Linked DNA regions of Mus musculus: regions 1, 2, 3, 4 and 5 are each reported to be linked to region 6. The links are microRNA targets in miRTarBase. Many come from high-throughput screens and were not tested one by one. Region 6 holds a microRNA gene; each other region holds the end of a gene's coding sequence.

Evidence for each region. Region 6 holds the annotated microRNA mmu-miR-136-5p (ACUCCAUUUGUUUUGAUGAUGG, at 3,239-3,260, shown strand). A microRNA usually pairs through its seed, bases 2 to 8, with sites in the 3' UTR of a target mRNA and lowers its output. Matches are read on the target gene's strand: a 7mer-m8 pairs with bases 2 to 8, a 7mer-A1 pairs with bases 2 to 7 and ends in A, and an 8mer does both.
Region 1: miRTarBase lists Saraf as a target of mmu-miR-136-5p. Seed matches in the 3' UTR shown: 7mer-m8 at 911-917.
Region 2: miRTarBase lists Mapk10 as a target of mmu-miR-136-5p. Seed matches in the 3' UTR shown: 7mer-m8 at 1,528-1,534, 7mer-A1 at 2,003-2,009 and 8mer at 4,678-4,685.
Region 3: miRTarBase lists Gdap1 as a target of mmu-miR-136-5p. Seed matches in the 3' UTR shown: 7mer-A1 at 4,029-4,035.
Region 4: the mRNA of Hipk1 is a reported target of mmu-miR-136-5p. Seed matches in the 3' UTR shown: 7mer-A1 at 2,515-2,521.
Region 5: miRTarBase lists Scamp5 as a target of mmu-miR-136-5p. Seed matches in the 3' UTR shown: 7mer-A1 at 2,466-2,472.

What each region holds. Positions count from the first base shown.
Region 1 is chr8:34,169,483-34,174,866 of GRCm38, forward strand. Saraf (store-operated calcium entry-associated regulatory factor) reads left to right here. Exons shown (of 6, transcript NM_026432.4): 6 at 614-1,365. The coding sequence ends at 639. Gm33638 (a long non-coding RNA gene) reads right to left here and starts at 3,706. Exons shown (of 3, transcript XR_870316.3): 1 at 3,600-3,706; 2 at 2,452-2,692; 3 at 2,065-2,231.
Region 2 is chr5:102,908,587-102,913,970 of GRCm38, reverse strand. Mapk10 (mitogen-activated protein kinase 10) reads left to right here. Exons shown (of 14, transcript NM_001081567.2): 14 at 644-5,384. The coding sequence ends at 786. Among named protein-coding and RNA genes, the nearest start is that of Gm30396, 280 kb to the right of the region's middle.
Region 3 is chr1:17,160,445-17,165,828 of GRCm38, reverse strand. It overlaps Gdap1 (ganglioside-induced differentiation-associated-protein 1), which reads right to left. Exons shown (of 6, transcript NM_010267.3): 6 at 1,558-4,702. The coding sequence ends at 4,320. Among named protein-coding and RNA genes, the nearest start is that of Gm28784, 5.3 kb to the left of the region's middle.
Region 4 is chr3:103,739,005-103,744,388 of GRCm38, forward strand. It overlaps Hipk1 (homeodomain interacting protein kinase 1), which reads right to left. Exons shown (of 16, transcript NM_010432.2): 16 at 811-5,384. The coding sequence ends at 4,944. Among named protein-coding and RNA genes, the nearest start is that of Olfml3, 3.7 kb to the left of the region's middle.
Region 5 is chr9:57,439,417-57,444,800 of GRCm38, forward strand. Scamp5 (secretory carrier membrane protein 5) reads right to left here. Exons shown (of 7, transcript NM_020270.3): 7 at 1,911-4,448. The coding sequence ends at 4,254. It overlaps Ppcdc (phosphopantothenoylcysteine decarboxylase), which reads right to left and starts at 698. Exons shown (of 7, transcript NM_176831.5): 1 at 654-698.
Region 6 is chr12:109,592,093-109,597,476 of GRCm38, forward strand. Mir136 (microRNA 136) reads left to right here and starts at 3,235; the gene lies at 3,235-3,296. Rtl1 (retrotransposon Gaglike 1) reads right to left here. Exons shown (of 2, transcript NM_184109.2): 2 at 1-3,396. The coding sequence starts at 3,311. It overlaps 6430411K18Rik (RIKEN cDNA 6430411K18 gen), which reads left to right. Exons shown (of 1, transcript NR_002848.3): 1 at 1-759. It overlaps Mir127 (microRNA 127), which reads left to right and starts at 754; the gene lies at 754-823. It also overlaps Mir434, Mir432 and Mir3071.

The DNA.
Region 1 (5,384 bases), not on the chromosome of region 6:
GTTACAGGTGCATCTTTTAAAAATATATTCAAACGTTAGTTGGTTGAGTCTATGGATGTGGAACTTACAGATCCAGACAGGCAGCTGTATTTCAGCAACAGGTACATACCCTCTGCACTGACAGATTAGCTCAGCGATGTTCTAAACTATTGACAGCCTGTTTGTTATGGAGTATGTGGGATGGTGGGTGGGTGGTATTCAAATAACACATTAAACCATTAAAAGTCCACGGCCCCCGTTTCGTCCCTTTATCGGTGAGTTTGAGTTGTGAGTGAGCAGGACATGGTGTATGGCCCACTGTCCTTTCTGCATTTTTTGGCTTAGACTTTGCATATTCGTGGTTCTTATTTGCATAGTGGCATATGGCTTGCTTGTTAGCTAGCTCACATGGGAGCACCTCCTTGCCTTCCTGAGAGCAATTGTGGACTTGCTGACTGAGGGTCTGCCTTGTTGGGTCTCACACTGTCGTGTTCCACGTCGTGCTGCGTGGTAGCCTTCCCTCATAGCTTGCTTTCTTCTGTGCTGACAAGAAGCACATACAACTTCTGAAACATTATGAACAATTTTCATATATTTTGAAAAGCTAATGCAGACTTTGTTTTTCTCATCCTAGGATATGGTGGCACCAGAAGACGGTAAAATAGGAAATTGAAGGCAAACACTGGATGCAAAGTTTCTGATTTGTCATCACCATCTCTTTAACACCTGGCTAATGGGAATAACCAAAAGTTGTGTGGTGTTTGGTCCTTGTGTAGCTTTTCGTGTCCCGTTGTTTGTGGCCAAGAGTTGATATGTGACAAAATGCTATGGTTTGTATGATAATGTAACATGCAGTTCAAAGCGATGGCCACTGTGGAATGCTGACATTGTGCTTGTGTCTCAAGCCTTTCATACCAGAGGGGGCATTAGGAATGGAGCACCCTCCTGCTGAGACTGAGCACAGACCGCTTGAGCTAGGTGGCTTTGGACCATGAGTCATTCCCTCGTAGAAACAACGATCCTCTATTGGATATTAAAACACTTGGTGTTTGCTGTTCTTCAAACATTTAAGCCCAGTGCCGACTACTAATTATGCTGATTTGTGGGTTGCAATCGCTTGATCAGTAGAGCTTGGACCCTTCTGTGGTGGTCAGCGCCTGGGGATTCTGACCTTTCACAGGAAGGGTAGAAAGCAAACGACATGCACAGAAGGCTTGGAACCGCTAGACGTCAGTTTTCAGGTGGTAGCATTCAGACGCAAAAGCATGGAGTTCTCTGTGGAGTCTTAAACTGTCAGATGTTGTTGTGACATTTTGTTTTAGCCTTACATTAATATGACAATAAATTAAAAAGACAGGAAGTATTCTTGTTCTTTGTACTGCTGAAGCGTGTTTCGTGTGTGGTTTCCTCATCTCACACAGGCACCCACTTCTGGGGCTCAAGGGATGCATGGCGCACTGGTTAAGAGCTTGTACTGCTCCATGGGTGACCTGGGTTTGGTTCCTGGCACCCATATCAGGCAGCTCACACTGGCCTAGACGCTGGTTCTAGGGGACATGGTTGTCGCTGGTCTCCAAGGGAGCTTGCACTCATATGCACATACACACACACACACACACACACACACACACACACTTAATTGAAAAATGACAAAACAGGCTAAGAGTAGCAGTGCATACCTTTAAGAGGCAGAAGGAAACCTCTGAGTTGGAAGCCAGCCAAGGTTATACAGTGAGAGACCCCGTCTCTAACAAAACAGAAACTTAGGGGACTAGAGAATCGGTAAGAGTTTGCTTCTCAGTAACTGGGTTGGGCAGCTTCTGACTCCGGCTCTAGGAGATCCGACCTGTGAGGGTACCAACTACCCAACCTACCTACCTACCTTCCTCCCTTCTTTCCTCCCTTCTTTCCTTCCTTCCCTCCCTCCCTCCCTCCCTCCCTCCCTCCCTCCCTCCCTCCCTCCCTCCCTCCCTCCCTCCCTCCCACACACATGCACACACAAAATAACTAAAAAACAAAACAACAAAAAACTTCAGGGTGGATGAGGGCCTCTGCTTAAAAAAAAAGACAGTTTTTAAAACTAAGTCTTCAAGTGTCCCAACCCACCAAGGACTGTTTTTTATTTTTAGTTGAAGACCACAGGCTGGAGAAGTTGCAGTTCCAAGGAATAGAAATGGAGATAAAGGTCTCAGTTCTGTGTCTTCCTTGCCCTTAGCGACAGCTCCACCTCTGAGAAGACCTTGCTGCTTTGCCTGCAGGGCATGTAATCACAGAGGTGTTCCTGCAAGGGACTGCTGAGTCTCCCCAGGAGTTCTTCCCGGCCTCTCTGCCACCCATCTGGACCCACATTCCAGGAGGCACCAAAGGGTGCAGTCCACTATGTGACCCATGGGGGGAGAGGACTGCACACCAGGAGTCACCATACTCAGGAGAACAGCATTTTAGAATGGGTTTATCATATAAGCCACCCACCTTGAGAGAGTCCAGAGCACACACTTCCACTGCGTGTATGACTCCGCTCCTATCAGGTTACCATGGAGATGAAAGTTTCCTGTGGCCCAGTGATGGCTATAACTGTTGTAGTGTCACAGGACACCCAGTACTCTTCTTTTGGTGGTGATGGTGTTAGCACGTGTGTATTCACCACCAAGGCTGGCTTTACTAATCCGGGAGTTTTCATTCCCGTCAGGTTGGCAATCAACCATTACAACTCCTGTCACAATGTGGGAGAAAGGAGACTCAACGCACACTCAGAACATCATGCGAAGATTGAAATTATGTTGTCACAAACCAATGTATGACATAGGTTAGCAAGCTACCAGGAGCCTGGAGACAGGCCTGGGGCAGAGCCTTTCCTGGAACCTTCGAAAAGAGTATGGGCCTGCTTATGTTCTCATCTCAGACTGACAGCCTCCCCAAATGTAAAACCATGTATGCTTAAGACAAGGAAAGCGAAAGCAACACCCCCATCTCTGGAGGGATTGTGGAGATGTGTGATATCGTCTGTCTTAGGGTTCCCATTGCTGAGAAGAGACGCCATGACCAAGGCAACTCTTGTAAAGAACAACATTTTATTGGGGGCTGGCTTACAGATTCAGAGGTTTAGAGGTTATCATCATGGTGGGACGCATGACAGTGTCCAGGCAGACATGGCACTGGAGAAGGAGCTGAGGGTTCTACATCTCCATCCTTAAGTAGCAGGTGACTGTGTACCACACTGAGCATAACTTTAAAGCCAGACTCCATGGTGACAGACATCCTCCAACAAGGCCACACCTCCTAATTGTGCCACTCCCAATGAGCCAAGCATTCAAATGCATGATCTGGGGTGCCATACCTATTCCAACTACCACACCATTAAAGGCTTGAAGGATGGAGGGTTAGGACCCTCACTTAGTTCACTGCTTGGCCTGTGCAGAAAGCACATCTTTGAGAATACTAGTCATAAGCTATTCAGAGGTGACTCCAATTGCAGTTGTGATTTTATTGCTTCAGTCCATTAACATATCAGGTGTGCAGCTGCCATACTGACAAATGCTTCCCCTCTTTATATCTCAGTACAGCCCCACCAGAGGCATCTAGCAGCTGGCAAGGCCATCAGTACACCCTCGCTTTCTTACCTCAGGAGGATATTCATTCTCTGGCCACATGTCATCATGCAGTTAGTCACTATCTGTGATCACGACTCTCTTAAGACTTCCCACCAGTCCACGACACGGATGATAATCCGTGTCCCAGGTAAACCATGCTGGACGGTGAGAAAGAGATCAGACAAAATTTCTTGGGCCTTCTAGTGAGATTTCTAGGGATCCAGTGGTATGGAGTGTGCTGAACTATGCCTCCATGGAGTATATGAACAATCCCTGTTCTCTAAGGCCATTCTAATCTCTGTTCACCTCTAGAGATGAAAGCTGTAAACACTAAGACAGAGGAAGGTTGGCAGACCAGATGAGATAAACTTCTAAGGGGAGAGGTGACTCAGCGCTTTACACGATGTGTCACAGTGCTGACTGTTCCTTCCTGGCAAGACAGGACAGGGCTGTTTTGCATGCCACCCATTCTAAAAAGAAAAGGCACAACACTTCGGAGGACTTTGGAGGCAACTTGTTGTCTACAGAGTGCTACTCTGGTATACTTATTGACCCCCAAAGCTGCTAGCTTTTATGGGTCCATAGTAAGAGAAGGCTATCTGTGATGGTTTGGATATGCTCGTCCCAGGGAGTGGCACTGTTAGAAGGTGTGGCTCTATAGAGTAGGTGTGTCATTGTGGGTGTGGACATTAAGACCCTCATCCTAGCTACTTGGAAGCCAGTATTCTGCTAGCAGCCTTCAGATAAAGATGTAGAACTCTCAGCTCCTCCTGCACCATGCCTGCCTGGATGTTGCTATGTTCCCACCTTGATAATGGACTGAACCTCTGAACCTGTAAGCCAGCCCCAATTAAATGTTGTCCTTACAAGAGTTGCCTTGGTCATGGTGTCTGTTCACAGCAGTGAAACCCTAACTAAGACACTATCTGACACAGGATATAGTATAATAGTGTAACATTTAGTAAGGTCTAATGGTAACAATTTACCATTGTTACCTATCATTTTTCCAGATAGTTCCTGTCTCTTCCTAGTTTTCTTGATTAATTTTGGTACTTCTCATTCAATTTCCTTATAAGATTTTTTTTTCTATTTTGTTCAAGGCTATGTCTCTGGTATCTGAAGTATCAAGTAGGGTCACAGGAAGAAATAGATGGCACAGTCAAAGCCTAATATCTGCCCCCCCCCAAGGCAGAGTTTCTCTGTGTAGTCCTGGTTGTCCTGGATCTCTCTCTGTAGACCAGGCTGGCTTTGAACTCAGCGATCCACCTCTCTCTGCCACGGAGTGCTGGGATTAAATGTCTGCTATCATGACCCAGCTAAAAGCAGAATAGTTGTGAGGATTTAATTAAGGAACTATTTACTACAAAAAAAAATATGGCCAGGTTCAGGAAAACCACCAGGATCCCCGTAATAGAAGAGAGCAAATAATAGGTTGGTTGTACCATAGACCTGAAAGATTATTCAAGGAGATACAGTCTCCTTTGTTCTGAGTAGAAGCAGAACATTTTTCCAGGGTAGTTAGGATGAGTTACCCTGGCCAGTGCCACAAACTCCTTTTTGACCTGTTTGTTCAGTAGCATGAAAAGCTCACATTGGCCGGAGGCTTATGTAACAGTGTTTGTTAGTGGGGGCTTTGCTTCCTTAGGTGCTAGACCAGTTTGTGCAAGCTAGCAGCTTAAAAGAAGCCAAGATAAGCAGGTCCCTTTTTCCTCTTGGACACCAGGTCACTTGTCTAGTGCGAGAATGTGAATAAAGCACGAGAGTCTCTTGTCACGTCTGAGATTTTGGCTTAGTGAGTAGCTGCTGGGAGCCCTG
Region 2 (5,384 bases), not on the chromosome of region 6:
TGGCAGGACACCCAAGCTCAGAGGGCATGCTCTGGCCTATCTTTCCTTCTGCTCGCCACTAACATTTCTCTAGAGTCTTGGCTTTTCAACATCGATCTGCATTTTGGTATTCCATTTAATGATTATATAATACTCTGTGTTTTATATACTTACATTTCCTTAGAGCTGTAGTCATCACAAATTCTGACCGCTGGGCTTTGCCTTGGCTTATTTCTGGTCTAAGACCATCATGTGTGCTTGTTTTACCTCCTTCATCGAAAGCTTCAGGATCAGGCCAGTGGTTTTCTGTCCCCTGAATGACTATAGAGCCCCTAGGGTCTTACATAAGGATGCAACGGCCTTGGCTTCACCCAAGCTCAGTATCGTTACAACACTGGGACTTAGAGGTGGATGGTGTGAGCAGTGAGTGATTTCTAATCCAGAGCGAAATTGATAACCATTAACCTGTGAATAGATGTGACATGCGATGGGGTTTCTGAATTGTGTCTCCTTGAGTTCCACCATCAAGTTCAGTTCAATGAAGGTCTGCCAAAGAGATAGAAGAGACATTTCTTCTTGTTATACCCATCCCCACACTGAACATCCTGAGCACATGGGTCTGGTTCCAGATTTAGTCATGTTGGTCTTCATTTTCTTAGCACAGGTGCAGCAGTGAACAGCAGTGAGAGTCTCCCTCCATCCTCGTCTGTCAACGACATCTCCTCCATGTCCACCGACCAGACCCTCGCATCTGACACTGACAGCAGCCTGGAGGCCTCGGCGGGACCGTTGGGTTGTTGCAGGTGACTAGCCGCCTGCCTGCGAAACCCAGCGTTCTTCAGGAGATGACGCGATAGAACACAGCACACATGCACACACACAGCTTGCTCTCACACACACTCAGCTTGCTCACACACACACACACACATACACACAAACACACACTGTCTCTCTCTCACACACACACACTGTCACAACGCACTCACGAAAGGTCAAGAAAAAAATAACAATAGAGAGATCCAACATAAAATTAAGTTAAATTTTTCTGCGTGCTTCTCCAAAGTTCTGTATCACAGCTGAGCTGAAATGTATACTTAACTTCTAGTTGCGCTCGCTTTGGTTTCCCTCCAGCAGTGCTTACTACACAAGACAAATCAGACACAATTAGAGAAACCTTTCCCTAAAGTGTAACTTAAGTGGCTGCAGAACCAGCAACCTGTAACTGCCCTTCAAATGGCATGAGGAGGTGGGCACGGGTCCCGCCCAGCATGTGTGTGTCTCTATCTCGCGTCTACCTGCTCTTCCGGCCTAGTCAGATGGATGTAGATACAGATCCCGCATGTGTCTGTATTCAAACAGCACTTAGAGATGCTCCTGTCAGTGTCCTCCAGGCTCCACCAAGACACACACCGGGGTACCACATGGTCCATTTCATGTGATCTATTACTCTGACATAAATCCATCTGTAATATATTGCCAGTATATAAGCTGTTTAGTTTGTTAATTGATTAAGCTGTATGTCTTATAAGAGACTATGTAAAGGGGGAAAATGGAGGCGTGAACTCTCAGACCCTTGAAGATGTAGCTTCCGAATTTGAACCGATTAAATGGCACCTGTATACCAATTTGTAGAAAGAACATATGTGATGCTTAAATCCAGGGTGGGGGGAGGGAGGGAGCAATAGCTTTCAGGTTCTAAATAGGGTTGTCCTTTAGATGGAAGATGTGAGTCAAAGCCAAGGGCGCTCTCTCTGGAAGTCAGTGAGTAGCAGGGACCAGAGCGTATTGCTGCAGTATAGACTGAACGGAAGGAAACCACTGCCCAGGGGCCGGGGGATGGCGCATCTGTGTTCTAAACATTGGACACTATTGTTTATTTTTAAAATTACGGTCAAAAGAGCAAGTTGCTGAAGGAAGGGACAGGCGTCAAGACAGGATCATTGTGCACAAATCCCGGGTGGTAAAAGCCCTTTCCCGAGACACAGTGGAGAGACCTTCATGTGACTGACTTTAGAGAAGATTGATGGAGATTATAGGGCATGTTTCCCATGTGTGAGCTGCTTCCCAGAGTCCTCCCCTGCTGATATTTTATTCCCTCTTCTGGAATTGGATAACATAATTAAAATAAAATCCCCAAAGCACACAGAGAGATCTTCAGGATAGCATCTCCAAGCATCTTCATGGGCTGTGTTTTCCCTCAGAGGGATTTCCCAGGCCCCTTGGTATGACTGGTGTTTCATACTTATTGATGTATTTTCATAGATGTGTGTAATCTGAGAAGGGCTGATAACCTGACTTTTGTACTGCAGTAGATACACGAGAGCAATAACGCCGTGCCAACGTAGCTCCTACTAGCTAGCATTAGCAGCGACTTTGTCCTAAAGCCATGAAACGTTTGTGTGTTTAGTGAAATCATCTGAATTTAGCTCAAATCCCCGAGAGATCCTATCTGAGCACTCAGAGAGGCACTGTGAAACATCGTGGTTATATACAAGGCAATGCCTGTGTGGCTTCTGAGCAATAACAGGCCAGGCCTGGCTTCCCTTCTTCCTCCCTTGGGTGAAGCATCCACTACAGTTATTTGCACTCTGGCCACTTTGGTGCTCACCCCTGTGGTGATATTTCACCTGAGGAAAAGTGGAACGTGTGAGCAGATGAAGGTAATGGGCCTGGCAGATGGGAAAGCCTTGACTACAGAGGAAACAGCAATGCCGGGGCTCTGCAAACTGCCTTAAACCCAACAGCGTGGAAGATCTTCTCTCTTCAAGCAATAGTCAGTCAGAAGCCTCAGACCCATCCCCAACTCCTGCCACCACCACATCCCTCCATTCCCAACAAATACACACACACACACACACACACACACACACTACATACAGACAACACACTGCTGTGTGGCCATTCCTGGGATTGCTTCCCACAGCACGGTTCATTGCAAGACGTGATATTGAAAAGGGAGAGAAGAGAAGTGGTGGGCGGGAGCTAGCTAGCTACCTTCAGATCTTAGAGGGTGCAGCTCATTCCCCTGGATAAAGATATCCGTCTGTAGCTGGATCTTTTGGTTAATGTTGTGGACAAAGTGATCTTTATAAACACTGATTCATTTTCATGATCTCTCTCCCTTTCCCATCTACCTTCGTTCTTTTTTTTTTTCTATTTCTTAACTTACCTGTATTCTCTTCTTTTTCTGTAGTTTGCTTTTATGAGTGTGATCTCTGCACTCCCTCACCCTATATCACACCAGATTAATGCCCAGACAACTGCTTGATAGAAACAAGTTTCAAGGGGGAATTCCATAATAATCAAGATGGTGACAGACAGGCAGGGCTCTCAGCGGAATGGCGGATGTGCTTAACAGTCAGGATCCTACTGACAAGTGCTGACCATTTCTACTGGGTAGATGAAAGCAGGCAAATCAGATTACCTCGTCTTCCCCTCCTTCAGGTTAGCCTGGGTACCAGTAGCACGTCTCCTAGTGGCCGGCACCCTTGGACAGAGATCCCCCATGGACAAGAAAATAGGAAGCAAATCTCTTGGGTTTTAAATAGCACATTGAGGGAAAGATGAACATTTAGCTCCTGGATCTCATGAAGGATTGGTTTTTAGCTAAGCCAGGGATGGATGGAGGAGAAACAACCCTGAGGGTCAATGTCAAAACATTCCCATTGAGACCCCCAATGCTCTGAGAATGTTCACAGTATACATTATGCCCTCTAGTGGGTCTTGCTAGGAAAAAAAAAAACCCAGTATTTATTTTATGTAATATCGGTTACACACAAGAGTGTTCTTGTTTTGGGGGCAGAGAACTGTTCTGAGACCTGGACTGTGTTTGTGGAAGATTCAAAGGAGCTTCATGTATTCATTTTGCAACAGAAGGTTGGCATAGTGAGGACTTACAAATCTGTCCCTTCAGTAGGCAACCTTGGTCCTTAATATGTTCCATGGTGTTCTGTAGAAAGGGAGAGGGTGTATTTTTTTGCTGGTTAGGGAGTGTTTGGTGGGTCAGTGTGATCATTTTTTCCAATGGGATACATTGACCTTATAGCCCAATTTTTTTCTTGTGCAATAAAGATGGAAACTAATACTTCATCTCTCAGAATCCATCATTAGAGCTTCATAGGTCTTTATCCCAGGGCTGGACTAGGATGTAGCCAAGTCTTAGCAGTTGGAGGAAACATGCTCACTTGATGGCTCAGTGGTAGCGTGGCTGGCTTCTCTCAGTCAGTTATCACTACCAGAACGAGTATCATATAAAGGCACCGATAACAGCTGACCAGTAGATGAGAGAGACTTGGTCATGGAGCATAGAACAAACTGAATGCATGAACAAGACATCATTCTGTGATCTGTTAGGGCAAAGACTAACTGGTCTCATTCTACAGCTCTTAAGTATTTACCACAGAGGCCAGGTTATACAAAATCTACTGCTGTTCCGTTTTCTTAGCAAATAAGAACGTACTGTGTTCTGTAAAGAATTTTGTTAATTAACTTTGCTGGGAAAGATAATGTTTATGATCCAGAGAGAGCAGAGAAGTCTTTGGGGGGTGTGGATTTTGATCCCAGCTTCTTTGGGTCTGAAGAGCAATCCTCTCACCACTCCAACACTCCTGCCCTCATGGATACGTGCACATGTTAACTTCAAGAGTCCACTGTCTTCCACGTGTAGCCTTAGAAATGGCACTAACTAAACAAACTAAAAATGGAGAATGTAAACAACCAAATCAGTCATTTTCCTTGCGACTAAAATATAAACGGTATCTCCTCTTTGGGCACCCAGAGAGATCTTTGTTAATTCACTTTGGTCAGTCAAAGCGAAGTGGTAGAATTTTTTTTTTTTTACATGTGAACTGTTCATTTTATTCTTGCTCATGTGGGACCAACGGCCAGTATATCCCAGTAGAGATGAATTTCCCAGCCCTCATTTGCCACCATTTGTCCTCCGTGTCATAGGACAATAGCAGGGTGCCTACCTTTGCCTGCTATTCTGCATGACTGGACCCCCCCCCAAAAAAAACTACTGATGAAGAGAATTGTCCTATGTCAGTGTTTATGAGATGTGTCTACAGCACCCCCCCCCCACACACACACATGTTCACATTTGCCCATATAGTTCTCTCAACCTGGAAGCCAAAATCATGTATGTCCAATCTCGTTGCAAAGTCGTGGAGGTGAGACAGGCTGTCACTAGCCTGATAGGTTTGTTGTGCTCTCAATGGTGTCAAATATGGGATCAAACTCATTCAATCCATGTCTGTGTTCTTTCTCACGTTCTTTTCCATTTTTCTCTCATTTTAAATATGTCTGTGGAAAAGAGCATGAATTGAAGAATTTGAATTCTTTAGACTCTTCACAGTTGGAACCAAGTCAACGTATTGTAATTTGTATGTCTTATGAATCATTAAAGC
Region 3 (5,384 bases), not on the chromosome of region 6:
TCATATAAAACTATACAAATACACACTGGCTACCTCTTCACATACTCAAAATGACTTGACTGGGGATTGAAGTATACACATGGCTTTTCTCTTAGCATGGAACCCAACAGTTTACATTATATTTCACTTACAACTTCACATTTTCGTGCATATGTCTGCACTGTGTGGGCTTAACAACACTGCAATGCTCCTGTTAAGAAGCCAATGCTTAGGTTCTTTTTTTTTTTTTAAAGATTTATCTATTATTATATGTAAGTACACTGTAGCTGTCTTCAGACACCCCAGAAAAGGGCATCAGATCTTATTACAAATGTTTGTGAGCCATCATGTGGTTGCTGGGAATTGAACTCAGCACCTTCACAAGAGCAGTCAGTGCTCTTAACCACTGAGTCATCTCTCCAGCCCAATGCTTAGGTTCTGACAAGGCATCTATAGTTAAGATGACCCCTCTACTTGCACAGGAGTAGACCATTGCCCATCACATGTGTATTGTCTCCAAACTGGCATGGCTTTGATGTGTTGACCAGGGAGTCTGCTCTACTTCTTTCCCTCTATCATCTCACCAGTTCTTTGGTCCTCCATCCTTAGAACCCATGCTTCAGCTTTCGTGGGTGTGCTCACCCTCCAGTGAGTTCTTCCTCTCCATCTTGCTTCATTTTCATAATGTAACAAATAAGTAAACAAACCACTATCCTTGTACTCTTTTGACTTTGTTTAATTGCCTTAGACTCCACTGCCTTACCTTCTAAAACAGCAAACTAGCTGGCAGCATTTGGGAAGCAAAATATTCTGATGTTGGTACAGAAAACAAAACAAATGAGCCAACATTTGATATAAATAATATGCAATTTAAGTCTAACACTAATTCTGTTGTATTAAATTTCCTTTTGTGTTTTTCCATTGGTGACTTTTTTTTCTCCAACATGAGTTTCATATTTCCTTGGCTTTCCATGGGTATTGACTTTTGCTTGGTGAACTCAAGGAAGATAAGGGCAAGGAGACTTCTGCTTACTTAGCTTGTGTCAGGATAACATTAAAATAGTACTCAGTTTCTAGTTGCTATGTAGAACAATAGCTAGGCTTACTGATACTGGAAATGCATGTGGTAGTTTCTATGTTCATAATCCATACCCAATTAAAGGAAGAGACGTGGCTGTGTCAAAAACATAAATTATCCTGAGAGCAATCCATAGAACCTCCCACTCGATGCTCATCCCGGATGTGATTCAAGTGCCCTGCTCTAATAACTAACATCAACATTCCTCTTTAGGCTGCCACTCAGTGTAGCCATAGAGTGTGTATTTCAGTTGACTCAGTGACTTACAAGGAAAGCATGACACAACTATCTGTCTTCAGAACTGCACTGCTGACTTTCCTCTATTACCTCTAATTGTTTTCATTTTCTTTCTTTTTCAATACCAGGATTAAACCCAAGCCTTCTATATGTTGATGAGGATTCCACCACTAAGCAACTCCAGTCCTGACGCTTTTATTTTTAAGTGAAAATATGTCATTTTAAAAAGATTTTTAAAGTAGCCCTTTGTGACCCAGAAAACATTTATTTTCAAATTATTTTTATTGATCTTACCATCAGAATAATATCTTTAATTTCCCATGACAATCAACAATACATTACAACTTTGATATCAATAGCAATGATTACTAAAACGAGCAAGCAGTTCACCAGTCTTGAGAATCAAAAGGCATATAATGGCAGTACCAATAAAATAGTGTGCATGTATGTTAAGAAATAGGCAACATAACCTGTTAATGCCTTGGGCATTTTCTAGCTGTGGCATTTATACTTTTTTTTTTCACATGAGAAGCATATTGACCAGTTACCATGATCCTAAAAAGAAGATGCATTAAAGTGCCTCTCTGGCTAACAGTGGCTGTGCACCTCCTTATCATACGGTGCTGACATCACTCGCAACGCATAAGAAATCAATACTACATTTGTCCCAAACTTTTTCACAGGTGGCTAATCTTAATGAAGATTCCCTCAGAAACTAAGGTCATTAATGTTTTATCGTCACTTGAAACCTCTCACACATGCCAAACCAAATGGAACAGTCTTAGACTACTGGGTGAACAGCGACATCTAGTGGTCAGGGTTTTATCACTAGACAAATATTTTTAAAGCACTAATGTCAAGAATACCTACCTATAAAACATTGAAGAGGCTTGGATGCCTCGCCTTGAACACTGGCACACATCTACCTCCAAATAAATTACAGATGAAAATCATAATTTCCTGGTGATTTTCTGACTCCATCATAACATATACTGAAAGAAAATTCACTCTTTAACAATCCTTTCACAAGTAAATAAGTACCTTTTGTAGATTTTTTTTTTTTTTTACAAAATTCCCATTGTTACTTCTTTGTGCCTCACTTTTTATTTCTATCAGAACATTGTAAGAAATTCTGAATCACTAGTCAGTTAATTTTATGACTGTTGTATAAATACAATGACAGCAATGTCCTAGCAATAAGCAGATTCAGACACTCTGCATGACACATTGATGGGCAGAGGAAGATGGCACAAAAGCTGCGTGCATTTCCTCATCATAGATCTGAGTTCACATGGGGGTGTTAGGGTTTTTTGTTTTGATGTTGCTGTTTTGCTTGTTTTTTACAAACAGGACACATCCTGCTCATATGGGTTCTTTTTTTAAGTACATCTAGCTTATGAAATGGAATAATAGAATCAAAAAGGAATTATAGAATTGTTTTTATCATCAGAAAGCCATTGCTTGCTGGTTGTGACATTTTCCTATTAATAAACGTCAGTACATTTTTTGGCCATGTGCATAGTTCACCTGAGGTCATCCAAGCAGACTTTCTCTTTACTCACAGTCTGTGGACAAGCTTCCCATCAGATTCTTGAAGCTTCTCCTAAGGCTTTGACAGCCAGCTCCAGGAAAACTGCCTCCCTGCTTTAATAGGAGGCTTGTCCTGAGCAAAAATCATGCATTATAGTCTGATGGCTATTCCTAGGTCATCCATGAACCGTCTCTTCCATATGGACTGATATATCCCCCAAATATTTAAACACACATGGATGAGTATGGGTGGACATCTAGCTAGCTATATATTTTACCTTTCCCAAATTAGCTGTCAATATCTAATGCTAGCTTTTACTTTTTTCTTTAATGTAAAGCTCTGTCAATAATCATAAACAAATACAAAGCCTGGCCAACAGTTTGTGCATGAATGTACTAGTCTCTCCAAATAAAACTAAGCATATTTAGTTCTCATCAAATTATCCACTACCATCCATAAGCCATATTTACTTGAGACATTCATCTATATATTACTTGTATGCATAAATAGGGCTGTCGAGGCCAAGGTTCCCAGGACTGAAGACAATCATATACAGGATGAGCACCTCACGTGGCCATGGGAGCCATGAAGACTACCCTACTATCCTTTTAGACATTCATAAAAGTGCTAGACATATGTTTCAATGGGCATCTCATTCAAGTGCATAATAACTTAATCTTATTAAATTAACAAGTGTAACTCATAATTAAGGTCAAATGAAGTGTTTTCTATGCAGTGCATAGGTTTCTCCCCAGTATACTATCCCCACTAACTTCCCAGCCCTCTCCTCCCTAAAAGTTCTGAGTTAAGGAGGGTACATGACCACAAGTAGGTATATGTGAAATTCCCCAAAGAGAGAGGCAACCATGGGCAGCAATGAAGGCCACTGGAGGTTAGCATCTACTGCTCTGTTCTGGATGTACTTCATTCTCTCATTTTCTTTCTCCCCTTTCTCATTTTCTCCTTTACTTATGCCTAAAGCTGCTAGTGAAAGATGAATCAGTACAATGTCTTGTTTGTGTCTGAACTCTGTCTAGTATAACAAAGATGCCTCTGAGTCCCAGAGGAATCCTATAACTGTTCAACACCCAGACCTGCAGTCACTCTCAGGTGAGGCACTATGAGCAATCATGGGTTGTTATTACTGTCTGCTCCTAATTACAACCTCTCAAAAAATACCTGAGAACATACATGAACTAACAATCTCCATCAAAGGTTCCCTCCCCCCAATCTGTCAGCAGTTATACTGGCCTTTAGGGATAGATTAGAAGTAAGTCATGTTGTCTACAAAAAAAGAAAGGAAGAAAGAGAAAGAGACAGAGAGAAAGAAGAAAAAAACATATCATTAGCTCCTTCTCCCACATGAGCTCCCCGTGAATTATATAAAGTATGCTCTCTACTAATTGCCAAGGCTAAATCTTCACTGGGTCTGGACAAGTGGATGAGGGTCTAGTGGAGTGATTCCGTGTGCTGCTACCACAGATCCCAACAAACCTAGAAATAATTTGGTCTGGGTCTAAGTGCTAATATCATGCTGCCAAGTCTCCTTCTGAAAAGCATAAATGCAAAATATCCCATTCCTACAAGCAAACCAACCACAAGGGTGCTGCCAAGAACTTTTGGGGCCCTTTTTTTGGCCACCCGGAATGCTGTTGGCAGCACCGCAGAGATTAATATATTGTTGACATGTCCTAAAACCTTGTTAAATGTTTTTCTCTTCAAGACACGCTCATAATAGGTTTCCAAGTTCGGTCTCTTTCCATGTCCCCAGTTTCGTCTTGCAAACCCCAGGAACTTCAGCCGATGCAATGTGACAGCCAGTGAGACATCTGCCAGTGTAAAGGATTCTCCACAGAGCCAAGGCTGGTTGCCCTCCTCTAATCAGAGAAAAGGAATGAGAATTAGGGGCAAGCATGATACAGACAGACTACAGCTCCCATTTGCAGTCTGAGACCTAAGGGAAAAGATAATCACATGACATCTTGACCATCACAGTCATGCAGAGTTATCCCAAACTCACAGGTGTTTGACATTTGTCAGCCACAAACGTCCCTTTGTTTCTTATCATTATCATTTATACAATACACCATAAGAGCGATTTGCATGCTCTTCACATTATACTATGTATTAAAAGTAATCAAGAATGACTTCAAGTACACAGGAGGTTATCTTAATACCAAATCATTTTACAAAAAGGACCTGACAATCCATGAAGTATGGAATCTTCAGTTGCTGCTGAAACCAATTAACCCTCATGGAACAGAACAATAGCTACATTTCTTTAAAGTAGAAAGCAGTCATTCTTTCTTTTTATTTCATTTAAGATTTTTTTTTTCTTAAGATAAGGGCTTACTCTCTATCTCTGAAAGTTCTTGAACTGCTGGCAATGCCCCTGCCTCAACCTTACAAGTACTAGGATGACAGATGAGAACTGACAAACCCAGCTGTGCCCCTGTGATGAAAGAAGTTTCAGGCAACACTGTCTTCAGTCAAAATGCACAAATAATCCCCATGAAAAATGGCTGATTGCTGAGGCTCCCAGATGCAACCTATAGATGA
Region 4 (5,384 bases), not on the chromosome of region 6:
GGTATCCGTGGGGACCAGACGAGGACGTCAGATCTTCCAGAGCTGAATTTTAGGAGATTGTGCGCTGCCTATTGTTCCTGAGCACTGAGCCCCTCTCCTCTGAAAGAACAGTACACTCAACTACTAAGCCTTCTCTCCAGCCCATGTTCCTCCTTTCTATCCAGCTAAAGCTACAGGGGAGCTAGGCAGGAACATACATCAGAAGAAGTCAAATATGCAGCATTTACAAAGGGGCCTGCAGTGATTAATCTAGACAAATTCCAGTTTCTTTTCAGGAGAAAATTTTGTTCACTTTGGAATCAAGAGAAATTGGATCAGAGGTTCTTCTTGTTTTTAAGAGTTCATTATGTGTCTGTGTGGGTATGCACCCTGCAGCTGGAGTTAGAAATCACTTGTGAGGGGTCTGACTGGGTGCTGGGAATGGAACCCAGACCCTCCATAAGAGCAGCAGGTGCATTACCGCAGAGCTGTCCCTAAAGAGGTGACAGCTCTAACAGGGCCTAAGGAGACAGACAAAAATATCTTTCCCTAAGTTTCATTTTCACTGTGCTGATTTGAATGTTTGGTGTCATGTGCTAGGAAATGATGTTAATTAGTTTATCTCAAAAGCCATCTGCCTTTTCAAGGGGTCAGAGTCAGGGAAATACTTCCTACAAAATTATATTCATTTCCAGTATGGAAATGTGTACAAAGATGTTCTAATGTAGCAGTGTTCTTTCTACTCATGTTCAAACAGAATGCTTAGGCACTTCAAAGAGGCCACATGTCAGTCCCCTCCATGTCCTAACACAGAATTGAAACCAGCCACAGTCAGAAAATTTACCCATTTTATTGATGCATTGCAACTGCTCTACTTTTTTACCATATTATGTAGAAAATACTGAAAATACAAGCTACTTTGTAAAACCAAAGACAACAACGAATCCAAAGATAAACTATGTTTTACACAATGGACCCTTTTCCCATAGTTAGTATTAAATTTTAAATAGCTATTTCTTTTGTTAAAATGATTTTACATACTCCCTAAGTACACCTGCATTACAAACATAGATCAGTAATTCTCAGAACTACCTGTTTCTAGAAGCTTGTTGTAAAGGAAGCACACAACCAGAAAAGGGAGAAAGAAAAAAAGTTTAACCACACACAGGAACTAGCATATCAAATACATTTAATAAAGTAGGAATTCCATTGCAATATCAAGGATTCAAAGCAGAAATACTAACATTACATATAATGTACATATAATGTACTGCTACATATAGTGAGATTATTTTTCAAGCTGAATTGAATTGAAACCACACATTATATAAAGTTTAGCAACAAACAACCATGGAAACGTGGAGACATGCTGCACCATCCATCAGTTAAAAAAAAACACAAAGCAGGCTTGGCCATTCCTGTCACCGAGAGGCAATTTCATCTCCTATCCTAAAACAAACCATCTCAACTAGTAAATTCCTGCATACTAATGCAGAATAGGACAGCCAGTACTGTGCTGGCCTGGCTAAGCCCCTCTAGCGGATGATGACGGATGAGCAACCACAAAAGCAGGCTCTCAATGGCCGGAACTGTTTGAAATGGGGTTCTTCTTCCTGGGGTTAACAGGGTAACCACCTCCTAGTTGCAACTGGGGACTCTGGAGTGACTAAGTGTCCTGGTGTGTGCCTATGCAACCCTTCCAGTTCCTCTCTCACCTGGGAAGGGAGAAACTGGAAATGCACGTTCTAAGAGAAGGTTTAAAGCCTTAAGCTGTTCCAAGGTCAGGCAATGCTGACCTAGGTCAGCGCTATGTTCGTAGGGCTCTCCTCCATGCCATCAGGGCAAGCAGTCAATGTTAAGCCCCAGGCCAGAATGAATGTAAAACTATGTCTGGCGCATACACATTCAGCAGACACAGATGGGTTATCTAGGAAAATCTGAAATGTCAGTTTGCAGAGTGACAACCTCAAAGTCTGTAAAGTCACACTGCTAGCCAGATGTCTCAGGTAACGATGCAAACTCCTAGGCATCCTCTTTTCCCATAAATTTAAGACTCCCATCTTCAATAACTGCTTATTGGATTAGGGAGGTGAGGAGGTGGGGACAGGGTTGGTTTGTTTTTTCCCTGCATCTCATTCCTATAAAAACAATAAATCTTGTCCCTTATAGAGAAAAGGTTAAAAAAAAAAATGTTTGCCTAGAAACTAGAACTGTATTTAAATAGGAAAAACCCAGAATGCTTGGGGGAAAGGAAACACAAAGATCACACACAGAATGACATAAACGGTATAACACTAGTGACAAACTACACAATGATGCGTGGTTATCTCAACCAACAGACTGCTGAACGCACAGCTTAATATAATGATTAAAGAAAAGACAACACACACCACGTTGCCGGCAGGCTAAACTGACTACCTGCCCTGCCCTGGAAACTCTTCCTCCCCATGATGAAGAAACTCCAAGTTCGTTGACAGCCCCTCGGTGTTCCACCTGGTTCAGAGCTTTCCTGACCGGGTTCCATGAAATCTCCCATCTCCATCCTGCACCTCCCTGACACCACCTACACAGAACCAATCCTAGAATTACCACTCTGATATAATTTAATTCAGGTGGACCACATCTGTAGCTTAGGGTTAACCTTCTCCCCACAAATCCCTCACGGGCAAGAATGTCCCCACCCCTAGTACCTTCAACTTGACCCAAATCCATGGAGGGGTTGAATACTAGGACAATTTTACAGTGTGAAGGGCCCCAAGAACAACATGTTGTCCCAAAGAAACCTCAGGAATTGTTCAGATTCAAGAGGTTTTGCTTTCTTTTTCATATTCGTCACTAATTAAGAAACCTTTCTGTGAGCTTCTTGTCACCAGTAGTTCTACAAAACCCTTCTCGTAGTATGGGGACATATTAAGCAATACAACAGGCTCTTTGGTATAAACACATCTGTTACATGCTTTAAAAAAAAAACAAAAAACAAACAAAAAAAAAAAGCCAAGCAAAGTTTACCAGGAACGACAGCTATGCAGAAAGGACTATCATATCACATGGAGGAGAGAAAAGGAATCCCATCCTAAGTGATGCACAAACCTTCAAATATGCATATTTAGCACTGGCGTCACTCTTCTCGCCTGCTTCCTGAACTCTCACAGAAGCCAGGTAGCAAGGCACAGTGAGAGAGCCACGTTAGGGAATGCTTCTGTGAGAACTGAGCTGAAGATCCAAAATGGAACGGGACAGAGGTGGCAGTTAAGGAGGAAAGCTGCGGCTTTGACTTGTCACTGTCGGTAGGGAGACTGAGAACACGAACGCATTTACACAACACAGCTACTCAACCTGCTCTGTTAAATCCCAGCGAACAGCTTGGGGTCACTGGGGCTTGCTGGTCATCCTAAGGCAAGCTCACTGTAAACTCTATTAACCACTACATTATCATATAAGGCACTACAATAAGGGGAGAGAGGAGAGGGGGAAGGAAAAGACACACACTGAACAACTCCTCACCAGACACACCTGTGCAAAACAATCCCAAGGTCTCCTCTCTGCAGGCAATGCCCCTGCTCTCTCAGCACTACAGTAATATGCTCTAATAGAATTGCAATTAGTTCACATACATTCCAACAAGTATCAGTTCATTTTGGTTTAAATACAATGGAGACATAATCCATCTCCGGGGTAACACTGGAGGATCAGATACACACTAAATACACAATTCAAGTGTAATCACTACACATTTGATTACAAATAACATTTTGGGTTAGAGGAAAAATTGTTATATTTCTTCTAATCAATATGTACATATTTAATTATGCAAAATATTAAAACACCACCATTACAAAACTTCTAAAATATTTTTAAATTCAGTAATAAACTTTTAAAATATTTTCTGCAATTCCTACATGCACTTATTACATAAGTCTTAGTAAGAGAGCATTCAATTTGCTGTTGGCATACAAAGGAAGCTACTTTAAAGTATAAAAGCTATACACAACTTATCTGGTTTTAGTTTCTTTAGTTTTCCCCTCAAATAAGTCACATGAAACAGAAGGGAGAGATGAGGAAAACACAGACGTGTATTATTGAAAATTCATAGAAATCTTAGGCAATGTTTATCAGTGCCAGTATCTCATTCTAGAGAGAGATTTTGCATACTATTGTATGCAAACCACCACCATACACTTACCACCTCACTGGCTTTTCTATAAGGAGAATTTAAGTTAAACTAGAGAGAGGAGGAGGACTTGAACTCATGGTCTTCATTTAGAATGAATCCTGGTGGGCACAGTCCTCACCCTCACCTTCCTTCCCAGCAGCGCTGGCTGCCTGTTCAGTGCTGCTCTGCGAGCAGCTCAGCAGCAGCTGCACAGGTTTCAGTACTCGTTGTACTAAAACTCTAACAACTGCCCAGTAAGGACAGCACGACATGAAAATGAAATCACTCTGTTTCCATACGCCATAAGCACAGCCTTGCTAAGCTGCTTTCAAAATAAAAGACAAGGAAGTCTTGTGTTTTAGTTTTTTAAGCAAACAAAAAGTAATGACTCTTTCTCATCTGTTACAGGATTTCAAGTCAGCATTTCCCCTCGTAAAGAAGAGCTTTACTTCATTTTAAAAACATTTATAGAAACCAAGTCAAAGAGACCAAATGTATGACAGAGGGTAACTTCAGAACGATCTTTCTTCCTTGGTAACTGCAGAAGATGGGCTTCTGAGCTCTTCCAACGTCCAAAAATGCTGTCACAAGAATAAAGAATTAAAAAAACAGGGCAGACTTGGGAGACTGCAACAATGCAGTCAACACCGAGAGCTGTTCCCCAGGGAAAAGCCTTCTGCTTCAGTGGGCCCCGCAGAACGCGCTGCTGGCTAGGAACTTTCAAGAGGAGATAATGGAGGTGCTCTCCAGAGCCCATTAAGAACTCAGGGCTAGTAGCAGGCAGCCACGGAGCCCTCCTCGTGCTCATCAACTACAAGTAAGAATACTGACTGATCTTGGTAGGACTCAGCGGGTATCCAGTGTAAATTGTTGAGCCTCGGGAAGACCCGATGTAGGACTGAGTGGCAAACTGGTGTTGGTACTGAGCAGGGGCCACACTGGCAGAAGTGAGGAGGCTGGGCCCGACACTGACAGGAACCTGATGCACCAGAGTGCTAGGGTGTGTGGTATAAGCTGCAGCATGCCTTGAGGAACCCTGGGGGGAGAACAGATGAGCAATGGAACTGGTGGAGCCCAATGCAGCAGCAGAAGTGGGGGCAGCGTACGTATACAGGTGAGGCTGGCTTGGCAGGTGAGCAGGGGCTGGGGCCAAGTGTGGGTGCCCCGTCGAGTGCAGTGGGCTGCCATGCTGGAAGGCGTAGGGGGCTTGGGAGAGCGGGGCCACAAATGCCTGCTGTCTGCGGGGAGCAGG
Region 5 (5,384 bases), not on the chromosome of region 6:
GGAATCTCTCCTGCCCACTATCTAGTTCTGGCTTCCAATATTCCAAACGTCGGTGACGGTGACATTTTTTTTTCTGACAAAAACTGCTCTAACTCTAATTTGAAATGCCACTCGGCAAGTTTAGGGTTTAAGCATCTAAATACTGCCAGCGTTCTCCTTTCTCTCGTTTATGATTATAAAATACAATTTGAGGCACGTTGGCTCAGCAAGGTAGCTTGCAGACAAGTCTGAGGCCCTGAATGAGGGCGGGACTTACAGGGTAGAACTGAGTCCTGCAGGTCGTCCTATGACCTCAACACGCACGCTGTGACAGCCACCCCTCTTACAAAATAAACGTAATTTAAAAAAAAAAAAAAAAGTTTGTATTTCGGGGCGGTCCTAAATCTTTGGGAGGGGGGCACCTTATGCTGCAGTTTTTCAAAGGTAAGCGTCAAGTGTGGGTGTCTTTTAAACTAAGGATAGAGCATGATATCTGCGGGCACCGGTGCAGCTGCATAGCCCCCAATTCTGAGACTGGAGTCACACCTATAGCCCCACATCTGACACATTACACATGGACCTTCACGCGGACCCACAGCGACCAGAGGAGCTTCTCCCACCGCCCCACCCGGCGGCACCACCGACACAGCTTTCCCGCCCCTTCCACTGCTCACCAGCTCCAGGATACCCGCAAGTATCGCGGTATCTAGGCGCCTTTCCGGCTCTAAATGACTCCAGAGAAAGCGAGTGATCGCATGGCCTTCTGGGAGTCGTGGTCTATTTCTGTGGCTTCTGGGAGTTGTAGTCATTGGGGCTCCCTGTGCAAGGCTAAAGCCACATTAGGCAGGGGAGCCGCGACATTGAAAGGCTCACTTTGAGCAATCTTTTTCTTTTTTTCTTTTTTTTCTTTCTTTCTTTCTCTCTCTCTCCCTCTTTCTCTTTCTTTCCTTCTTTCTTTTTCTTTTTCTTTCCTTCCTTTTCTTTCTTTTTCTTTTCTTTCTCTCTTTCTTTCTTTCTTTCTTTCCTTTCTCTCTCTCTTTCAATAACTGGCATGTCTGAAACTTAGAACTCTGCCAGCTTCTGCCTCATAAGTGCTGGGATCAAAGGGGTGTGCTACCGTGCCCATTGCTACTTGAGAGGAATCTTGAGAGATGACCATCACAGAGGATCTAGACAACATTCTTAGAGAGCACATCTTTGGCAAAGCCTAGGCACATTCGAATCGTTGTAGTCATTACCCTGCAGCAATCAGAAATTTCAAGAACTTACATGTTCATTGAGCCCACTCAATCAGCTTCAAGAGACCCACCATGGGAGCTAAGGAAGGCCAGTCTTCTAGTCCTAACACTAAGGGCTATGGTGGTTTGAATATGCTTAGCCCAGGGAATTAGGAACAATTAGGAAGTATGGCCTTGTTGGAGTGGGTGTGGCCTTGTTGGAGGAAGTGTGTCACTGTGGGGGTGGGCAAATATATCTTCCTAGCCACCTGAGGCCAGTCTTCTCTTGACTGCCTTTGGAATAAGTTATAGAACTCTCAGCTTCTGTAGCACCATGACTGCTTGGATGCTGCCATACTTCCCGCCTTGACAATACTGGACTGAGCCTCTGAACTTGCAAGCCAGTCTCAGTTAAATGTTATCCTTTTATAACAGTTGCCTTGGTCGTGGTGTCTCTTCACAGCAATGGAAACCCTAAGTCACAGACACAGTCAGGCCATGCGCCTCACTCAGTGTTACAGGCCACTCCTATTTCCTAACTGGTAGTTGTGGCAACTACTTCATGGCCTACTCAGGGCTGCTTCAGAGGAAGGATCACAAAATACATGGTTTTTGGCATCACAGATCCACTCAACTCAATTCCACAACCCTGCTTCACATCCCACATCAAGGCTTCATTGAGACCCACATGGAGACAAGTAACACAGAGGGACATACAGGGTCAAATGATCCCTTTATTATATTCATCCAGTTACACAGATAGACACTGGCTCGGGCAGGTCAACTGCCAATGAGGGGATAGTTTGTGTCTCTCAGAAACAAGGGGCAGTGGGCACCAGGAGAATGCAAAAGCAGGTCACTGGCTGGCGACAGACAGGAGGACTCCCAGCATCCACCAGGCCCTCCCACCCCTCAAGCAAACCATCTGTGCCCGGCCCCATCTCTCTCACTCTCTCCTCATCAAAGTGCATAGTTGCCTGAAGATGCAGCATCCCAGTGCCTGAGCAGCTGGGCCAGACACTGGTGACAGGCTTTCCCAAGGGCAGTGCCAGGCATGGCCAATAGGTGTGAGCCAGGAAAGAGGAGAGGCCGATAGGACAGGAAGTTGACTGGGGGTAACACCCAACAGCTGTGGATGCTAGGCTGGCAGCTGGATCACAGCTTTCCTGGAAGTAACAGAGGACTAAGAGAAAGGGAGCTGGGAGAAGGGAAGAGGAGGAAGAGCCTAGCCCTAGAATCTCTCAGGGTAGCAGGAGCTATGACAACTGCTCTCCATAGAGAAAACAGTAGGGGAGAGAATCAACTAAGCCTAGGGAGTCAACAGGAAAGGAACTTTCCAGACACTCTTGGATTCTCTTACAAGGAAGAAGCTGAAAAATCAAAGCTCAAGGTGGCCTGAAACCAAGTCTTAGGGTCCAAGGCAAACCAATGTGGTATGGTTTTCCAGTCTCCCTAGCCTAGGTGGGTTTCTGTTGCAAGGAGATGAGAAACAGCCAGCTGCTCCTTGGTAAGGCCTACCCACCTCAGGCCTCATGCAGAGGAATAAGATACCAGACAATGTCCACACCCTGCTTGAAAGATACAGTCCCAGGAACTAAGATCAGTCTAGAGAGAGATGAGGGTTCTAAGAGAACTAAGGAAAGGCCTGGAATCGAATCCTGTCGTTCTCGTGAATGGAAGAGGAGGGAAGGACAGAACACTAAACTAAAAACTAAAGGCAGAGCCATCCTGCCCTTCCTCCTGCCAACCAGGAATCCTACTCAGGACATTGTGCTTGCAGCTTGAACTGGGCCTGGGAGCATCTCTGCAGAATGTGTCCTGTAGCCAGGACAAGGGAGACTGGAGAGGTGAACTACCCTCTCAATGGGTCCTATTTGACTTCTCCTCAGATCTTCCCCCTTCAGACCTAACCTTCTGACCTCTATCCTTTCTGCCAGACTCAATTAGAACAGCTACTCCTTCCAGGAATCCAGTGGTCACTTTGAGAAGCTAGAAGCCCTTCTGAGCTGGGGCCAGCCACACCTCCCCCAGCGACCAATGATGCCCTCTGTTCCACCACGGCCTTTACACCTGGCAAGTGCCTCATACAAGCCAGCGGGAAATGCAGAGCGGCTCAAGGTGGATCTGGGCAGCAAGGGGTGGAAGCCAGGAGAGGGAAAAGGAGATGCCTGCCTCTGCGGGCCAGGCTTGCAGAATCAAGGAGATCAGCTCTGCATTTCCATTCCCCCCCCTCCCCCGTATCAAGTACCAAATGGGCTCAGAATCCCCAAGCTGGGTGCCCCTTCCACGTCAGGGTTGGCTGAGCTCCCATGTCAGCTTCCTGGAACTGGGGAGCGGATTGGGGGTATCTGGGTAGTCTTAAAAGCAGACATAACTGAGACACCCCGCTTTAGGAAGACAACGAAAAGCTACATGGGGAGGAAAAAGATCACGGAGGAGCCAGCTAGGGAAATGAGCACAAAGAATCTCACAATGAGGGAGGAACGAGGGGAAGAGGAGGTGGAGGGAGGACTACAGGGAGCAAGGGGACATCCTCTCTGTCCCATCGCCTAGAACCTGCCTATCACCATGAACACTAATACTGTTGCTTCCCAATGGGACTAAAGGCAGAAATAGCTTAGGCTCATCACCCTGCACAAGGTATCTGGCTCCCTGCTAGGCCTCCCCCTGGCCTGTGGAGTCTCTGGGCCAGGGTCAGAGGGGACAACCTGATGGATGGAGGGGGCTGGTTTAGTTCTAAACATACATCTAGCACCACAACAAGAGATCGCCACTGTACATTATCTCACAAGGGGACATAGGCTTGGCTACCAATGCACAGAAAACACTTCTTGTGCAGTGCAAAGTTCCCAGAGGACCCAAAGGTGGGGGCAGGGATAGACATATACATATACGTACACACATATATATATATATATATATAACTCTGATTCTTTGTACAAAGTTGGGGAGGAGAAAAGGGAAGGGGGAACCCTGCTTGGTCACCACACAGAAGATGTGGCTTAAGCCCCCTGTCCCACTGGCCCCCAGCCCTGCCTCCTGGTGGGCTTGGCTGGCTCACATCTCATTGGAGTACGTGTAGTTGGGAGTGGCAGAATACTGAGTCTGCGGTTGATTCATGGCACCCTGAGCAGCCCCCATGGCTGCATTCTGGGCTGCCTGCTGCACATGTGGGTTCTTCCACGCTCCAGTGGTCCATTCCTCCTGAGCCTTGCTGAAACTGCCTCCGCTACCCCGGTAGAACTTATGAACCTGCAGAAGCAACCACAGGGAATGGTTAAGCAGAGGACAGCACGCAGGGCACAGTGTTGCACCCTGCAAGCCCTAAAGGGGCAAGGAGGATCATGATTTAAGAGGCTGTCTAGAAAACAAAAATAAAAATAAATAAAAGGCCAGGAGCGGTAACTGCCACGCGCCTGTAACCCCAGCCCTTGGGGAGACAATGGCACGTAATTCTTCAATACATGTTGAGTTTGAGGTCAGCCTGGGTTTCATAAGTCCCTATCTCAAAAAAAAAAAAAATTGAAGCTGAGCACTATGGCACCCGCCTTTAATCCCAGCACTTGGGAGGCAGAGGCAGGTGGATTTCTGAGTTCGAGGCTAGCCTGGTCCTCAGAGTGAGTTCCAGGATAGCCAGACAGGGCTACAGAAAAATCCTGTCTAAAAAGCCAAAAATAACAATAATAACAATAGCAACAACAACAAAACAATAATAATGTTTTAAAAAATTGGGTGGGCAGCTATTCAGGAAACAGATAGGATCCTTTTGTGAAAAATTAGTCCTCCTTGGGGGCTGGAGAGATGGCTCAGCGGTTGAGAGCACTGACTGCTCTTCCAGAGATCCTGTGTTCAATTCCCAGCAACCACATGGTGGCTCACAGTCATCTGTAATGGAACCCAATGCCCTCATCTGGTGGGTCTGAAGACAGCTACAGTAGTGTACTCACATACATAAAATAAATAAATCTTTAAAAAAAAAAGAAAGAAAGAAAGAAAAGAAAAATCAGCTCACGGAGTAAGTAACTCAGACTTCTGTGTTCTGTGTCTGTGTGTCTGTGTGTGTTGTGTGTGTGTGTGTGTGTGTGTGTGTGTGTGTCTATGTGAGAGAGAGAGAGAGAGAGAGAACGAACCTCTAGTCTCAGTTCTTGCCTTCCACCTAGTTTAAGACAAGGTTTCTTGGTTTTTCTG
Region 6 (5,384 bases):
TAGGGCTCTGAACTCAGCAGTTGTCTCACTAGGGGTGCTGCGATGACAGCGAAGTTCTCCACGAAGTGGCGATAGGGATAGACAAGGTCAATCACACTTTGAAGACACCTCCTGCTGCCAGGGACAGGGCACCCCACGATGAGGTTCATAAGGTTCTTGTTCAGTTTCACCCCTTTGGGGGATATGTTGAAGCCCAAGATTTCAGCGGTCTGGCGATGGAACTGAGTTTTGTCCAGTGAACAGTAGATGTTGTGATACCGAAAGCGGACCAGGACTTGGCGGACATGCTGGGAGTGTTCCTCCTGGCTCATTGAGTAGACCAGGACCTCTCTGCCATGGCAAATCACAAACAACCCTAGGATGTCTTTTAGGATGAAGTGAACAATGTTGTTCCCTTCGTCAGAGTATGAGTTCATTGTGAAGGGCCGGTAGCATCTCATCTGGTGAAGGCCGAAACCGAACGATGCTCTCCAAGTGTCTTCCGTGTGTGTGACCGTGTGCCTCATCTCACTTTCCTTAATCCCAAGCAGCTCCAGTTTTGTGAACCATGCCGCTCCATGTAGCTGGTCGAATAGCTCTGGTACCATCTGCGTGTAGTCTTGTCTGTCAGTCAGCATGTCATACAGTATCCAGTATTCCTCTTGCTCCCTGGCTTTCTCTTGCTGCCTGGCTTTCTCTTGCATCCTGGCGCTCACAGGTTCCAAAGTCTCTCGGGCCCCAGACTCGTAAAAGACGCCGCTTTGATCACTGTCTCCAGCCTGCTGAAGCTCAGAGGGCTCTGATTCAGAAAGATCATCGGATCCGTCTGAGCTTGGCTGGTCGGAAGTCTCATCATCTGCCTCCCTCGGGTTAAACACGTCGGCCAGGTCTGAGTATGTGTGTGGCAATCCGGGCAGTAGGCTTATGCTGTATGTCTCTAGTGCGATGCATGGTGGAGGTGGGGTGAAGCAATTCCGCAGACAGTAGGGAGAGTGGAAGGTACACCGGCCTCTCATCCAGTCGACTTCAGGGGCATGGGTTCGGAGCCACTTCATGCCTAAGACGATGGAGAAGTTGGGCGAAGGTAAGATGTCAAATTCGATGTACTCATAATGCTTCTGGTGGACACATACCAGGGGCTCGGTGCACAGCCAGACGGGTTCATTGCCAATTGGGATGCCATCCACACCTTGGATTATCTGTGGATAAGGCTTCTCATAGAGTTCCACATAGTGTTCCTGGGCAAACCTCTCATCCATGTAGTTCCCTTCTGCTCCTGAGTCCACCAGGGCCCGCACTGCGACACTGTGGTAGGGGTCCACTCTCACCAAGAGCAGTAAGAAGAGGTGATCGCGATCAATGTCTGGGTGGAACTCATTGGGCAGCCAGCTGCTTACCCTCCACTTCTCTGGGGCGGGAGCATCCATCCAGGCTACGCTTCTTGGGCGCGACTCAGGTGGCAGCCTGAGTAATGCTCTTCTCTCTGCCAGCTTTTCTTCAAGTTGCAGGACAAGTACAATCAGGTTGTCTAGGGAATTCGGCTGAGGGATCCGGAACAGATAGTGCCTGATCTCTTCGTTGAGCCCCTGGCACAGGTGGGCCTGCAGGACTTCATCTGGCCAGCCTAAGGTGGGTATCAGACCCCGGAACTCATTGATGTAATCGGCCGCACAGCGGTTCCCCTGCCTGATGTTGAACATGGCGTCTTCCGCCACACGCAGGGTCTGCCGATACTCAAACTTTTCTGACATGGCCTCCAGGAAGGCTGAGAAGTTGTTTATCACTGGGCTGTTCTGCTCTACGAGGTCGTTGGCCCATTCCAAGGCTAGGTCAGTCAGGTGGCGGATGACGAATTTCACCCGCAGCTCATCATTGTATAGCATACTTGGGTAGTTCTGCATTGTCATCTGGCAGAGCACGACAAACTCATGGTAGTCTCTGCGATCTCCAGAGAAGGGCCTGAGGGAGGGCAGGCGACCTTCGTTGATAGCCTGCATCATGAGCCTTTCTGCCACTCTCTGTTGTTCTTTTAGGTCTTGCATCCGGAGGAACAGCGAGATGACGTTCCCCATGGTGGCCACGACTTCTTCTGGAGAGTTCTTGGGCTGACCTTCCTCTTCACCACCTTCCTCTTCCTCCTCTTCCTCGTCATCTCCCAGGTCAGTATCATCTTGGTCTGACTGGGTCTCGGATGAGTTGATTGTTTCATCCATGCTATAATCGGATGCCTCACTGAGTGGTTCCGACCCTTCCTGGTTTGAAATATCACTTGACTGGTTTGAACTGTCGCTTGACTCCTGGTTCGAATTATCGCTTAACTCCTGGTTTGAATTATCACTTAACTCCGGGTTTGAATCATAGCTTGACTCCTTTTGTGAACCATCGCTGGACTCCTGGTTTGAACCACCGCTTGACTCCAGGTTGGAAACATCGCTCGACTCTGGGTTTGAACCAAAGCTCGACTCATGGTTTGAACCATTACTTAATTCGTGGTTTGAACCATCACTCGACTCCTGGTTCGAACCATCATCACTTGATTCCTCCATGTCTTGGGGTAGATCGTTAGATGATGCCTCACAGGGGTCGCTGGATGGCTCCTCCACTTCCCGGAGTAGATCAGTGGGTAGCTCTTGCATTTCCTGGTAGGGGCCACTGGATGGCTCCTCCACTTCCCGGAGTAGATCAGTGGGTAGCTCTTGCATTTCCTGGTAGGGGCCACTGGATGGCTCCTCCACTTCCCGGAGTAGATCAGTGGGTAGCTCTTGCATTTCCTGGTAGGGGCCACTGGATGGCTCCTCCACTTCCCGGAGTAGATCAGTGGGTAGCTCTTGCATTTCCTGGTAGGGGCCACTGGATGGCTCCTCCACTTCCCGGAGTAGATCAGTGGGTAGCTCTTGCATTTCCTGGTGGGGGCCACTGGATGGCTCCTCCACTTCTTGGAGTAGATCAGTGGGCAGCTCTTGCATTTCCTGGTGGGGGCCACTGGATGGCTCCTCCACTTCTTGGAGTAGATTAGTGGGCAGCTCTTGCATTTCCTTGAGGGGGCCACTGGGTGGCTCCTTTTCTTCCTGGGCTGGGCCACTATCTGAGCCCGCCTGGGCCTCAACCTGGGCCTCAACCTGGGCTTCAGCCTGAGCCTCCGCCTGGGCCTCCACCTGGGTCTCCGCCTGGGCCTCCGCCTGGGCCCCTGCCTGGGCCCCCGCCTGGGCTCCACTGCTGCCTGGTGTCTCTTCAACGGTGTTGGATGAGCCCTCGGAGGACTCCATTTGTTTTGATGATGGATTCTTAAGCTCCATCATCGTCTCAAATGAGTCTTCAGAGGGTTCTATCATGTCGTCGGTTGGAAAGGAGTGTGCTCTGAAGACTGGTAAGATTGTGATGTGTGTGGTCAGAGACCGCAACTGTGGAGACCAAAACCTAGGGACAGAGGGATAAAAGACAGGAGAAAATGTAGCAATTTAGGTTCTCAAGATGGCAGGGTCAGATTCTATCTCAAGGACAAAGCAGATGCCAAGTTACTAGAATCAGAGAGAAAATGGAGAAATTCCTCCTGCATTCAGTTCAGCCTCCTTTTCTGGTTACTTGGGGCACCTCCAGGGGAAAGACCGTCACCCCCTGACCTGCCTTCCAGGCGGAGTCTGACTACCCCACCTGCCTACTTCCTCTAGTGGAATGAGAAATTCACAGCCCATAAATTTTGTGGAGCAACTGGCCTGGAGCGTCCTCTGTGGCGAGCTAGCACCTGGCAGGGCACACTTCTGGCCCGCTTTGCCCTGGCCAGGTTCCCTTCCCATTTGTAGTCACCCAAAAGTCATAAAGGTCACATCTCAATGCCACTCAAAGCGGCTGCTGGCAGGCTTGGTGGTCTAGAGCCAGCCCAGTGAGCTTGGTTGGAGGCGGGAATCTGCAGGGAGATGCCTGCTATTTCACAAACTGGGGAAAGAGGAGAAATTGGGCACTTGGCCACTATCCTGCCAGTTGGGTCAACAGCCAAAAATAGCTCTTATTTCCTCCTCTAGGCTCCAAGCCGAAATAAGTGAGAGAGAGCCATGGCTTTTGGTTTTAATTTTGCTCCCCATAAATGTTTATAAAATGCCTACTATGTGCTGAAAACATGCACTTTCATGGCTTCATCCTAGGTCACACTTTGTGCATATGCAGGATAAGAGGGGGGTGGGGGAGGGATAGTATCATTTCTCTTGTTCGGTTTGATCTCTGTCCAAAGCCACGTTTTCTCCAGCTCTGAGCTGAGTCGGAGCTTTCTAAACACCCTTTCCCGGGCTTTCAAAAAAACTGTTCTCCCAGGATTGCCTGGTCTGCAGGGCTCCTGCAGCTTTAAACATCTGGCCTCAATTCTGCTCATGCAAACATTTCTGCACGTCTCACAAATGCTATCTTTCCAAGTTTCTCCTCTGCTTCGGCAGGAGCAGGGTTTTCGTTCTCAAAAGTGCCCCCCCCCCCTTTTCTGTCACTGTTGATTTCGTCTGGTACAGGGGTATATCTAACAGAGGTATGAAGTTGGGTGAAAGGGGGGGCATGGGACCTTTGAAATCTGATTGTTCCGTAATTTTTGAAAATCTAGCCATGGAGGGTTTAGTGCACGGAAATTGAATTTAAAGGGATGTATTGGTTTGCAAAACAAATTAAGCTAGTTATTCAATAGCTCAGCCATATAGCTATTGTCTTTATGAATTCTGCACCTTCTGTTACTTCTCAATTTTCTTTTTTAAGGTCACTGGGCTGACCTATCCAAAAACAGAAACACACACACATACACACACAAAACCAAATAAACAGAAATCTCCCATGTTGTCATTCATGTAAAACTCCCGTTGGCCATCCTCCAAACCTTGCAGCAGGATGCTTTTGGGTCTGCAGTTTCTCAGAATTAGACATCTCCTTGTTAGCATGACACTTAAATTCGATCATGCAACCCCTCTGATTAAAGCCTCTCACTGTTTATTTACTGTCGGCAATATTAAATCCAAACCTTTTATATAAACATGTCTGACATGTAAACTTACCAAAAAAAAAAAAAAAAAAAAAAAAAAACTCCTGGCTGAAATTGAAAGGCCTTAGCATAATGTCCACGTTGGGCTTCTCATTCCTAGAACTGGAGATCACAGGTCCTGAGCCTGCTGTACAGACCATCAGCTCAGAAACATGCACAGCATATTACATAAATCAACTTATTTCCTCTTTCAGGAAAAGTCGTCTATTATTAAAATATAAAATTTGACTAATTCATCCCCAAGTTCATCTGCGGGACATAAAAATCTCAGCAGGTCTCCACCTAAAAATTGCTCATGGTTTCAATTTTTAAATTTGCAGCAATCCGATTTTAAAGCTAAATGATACCCGTTCTAAATAAAATGCCTATACTTAAAATATTACAGACAAATTTG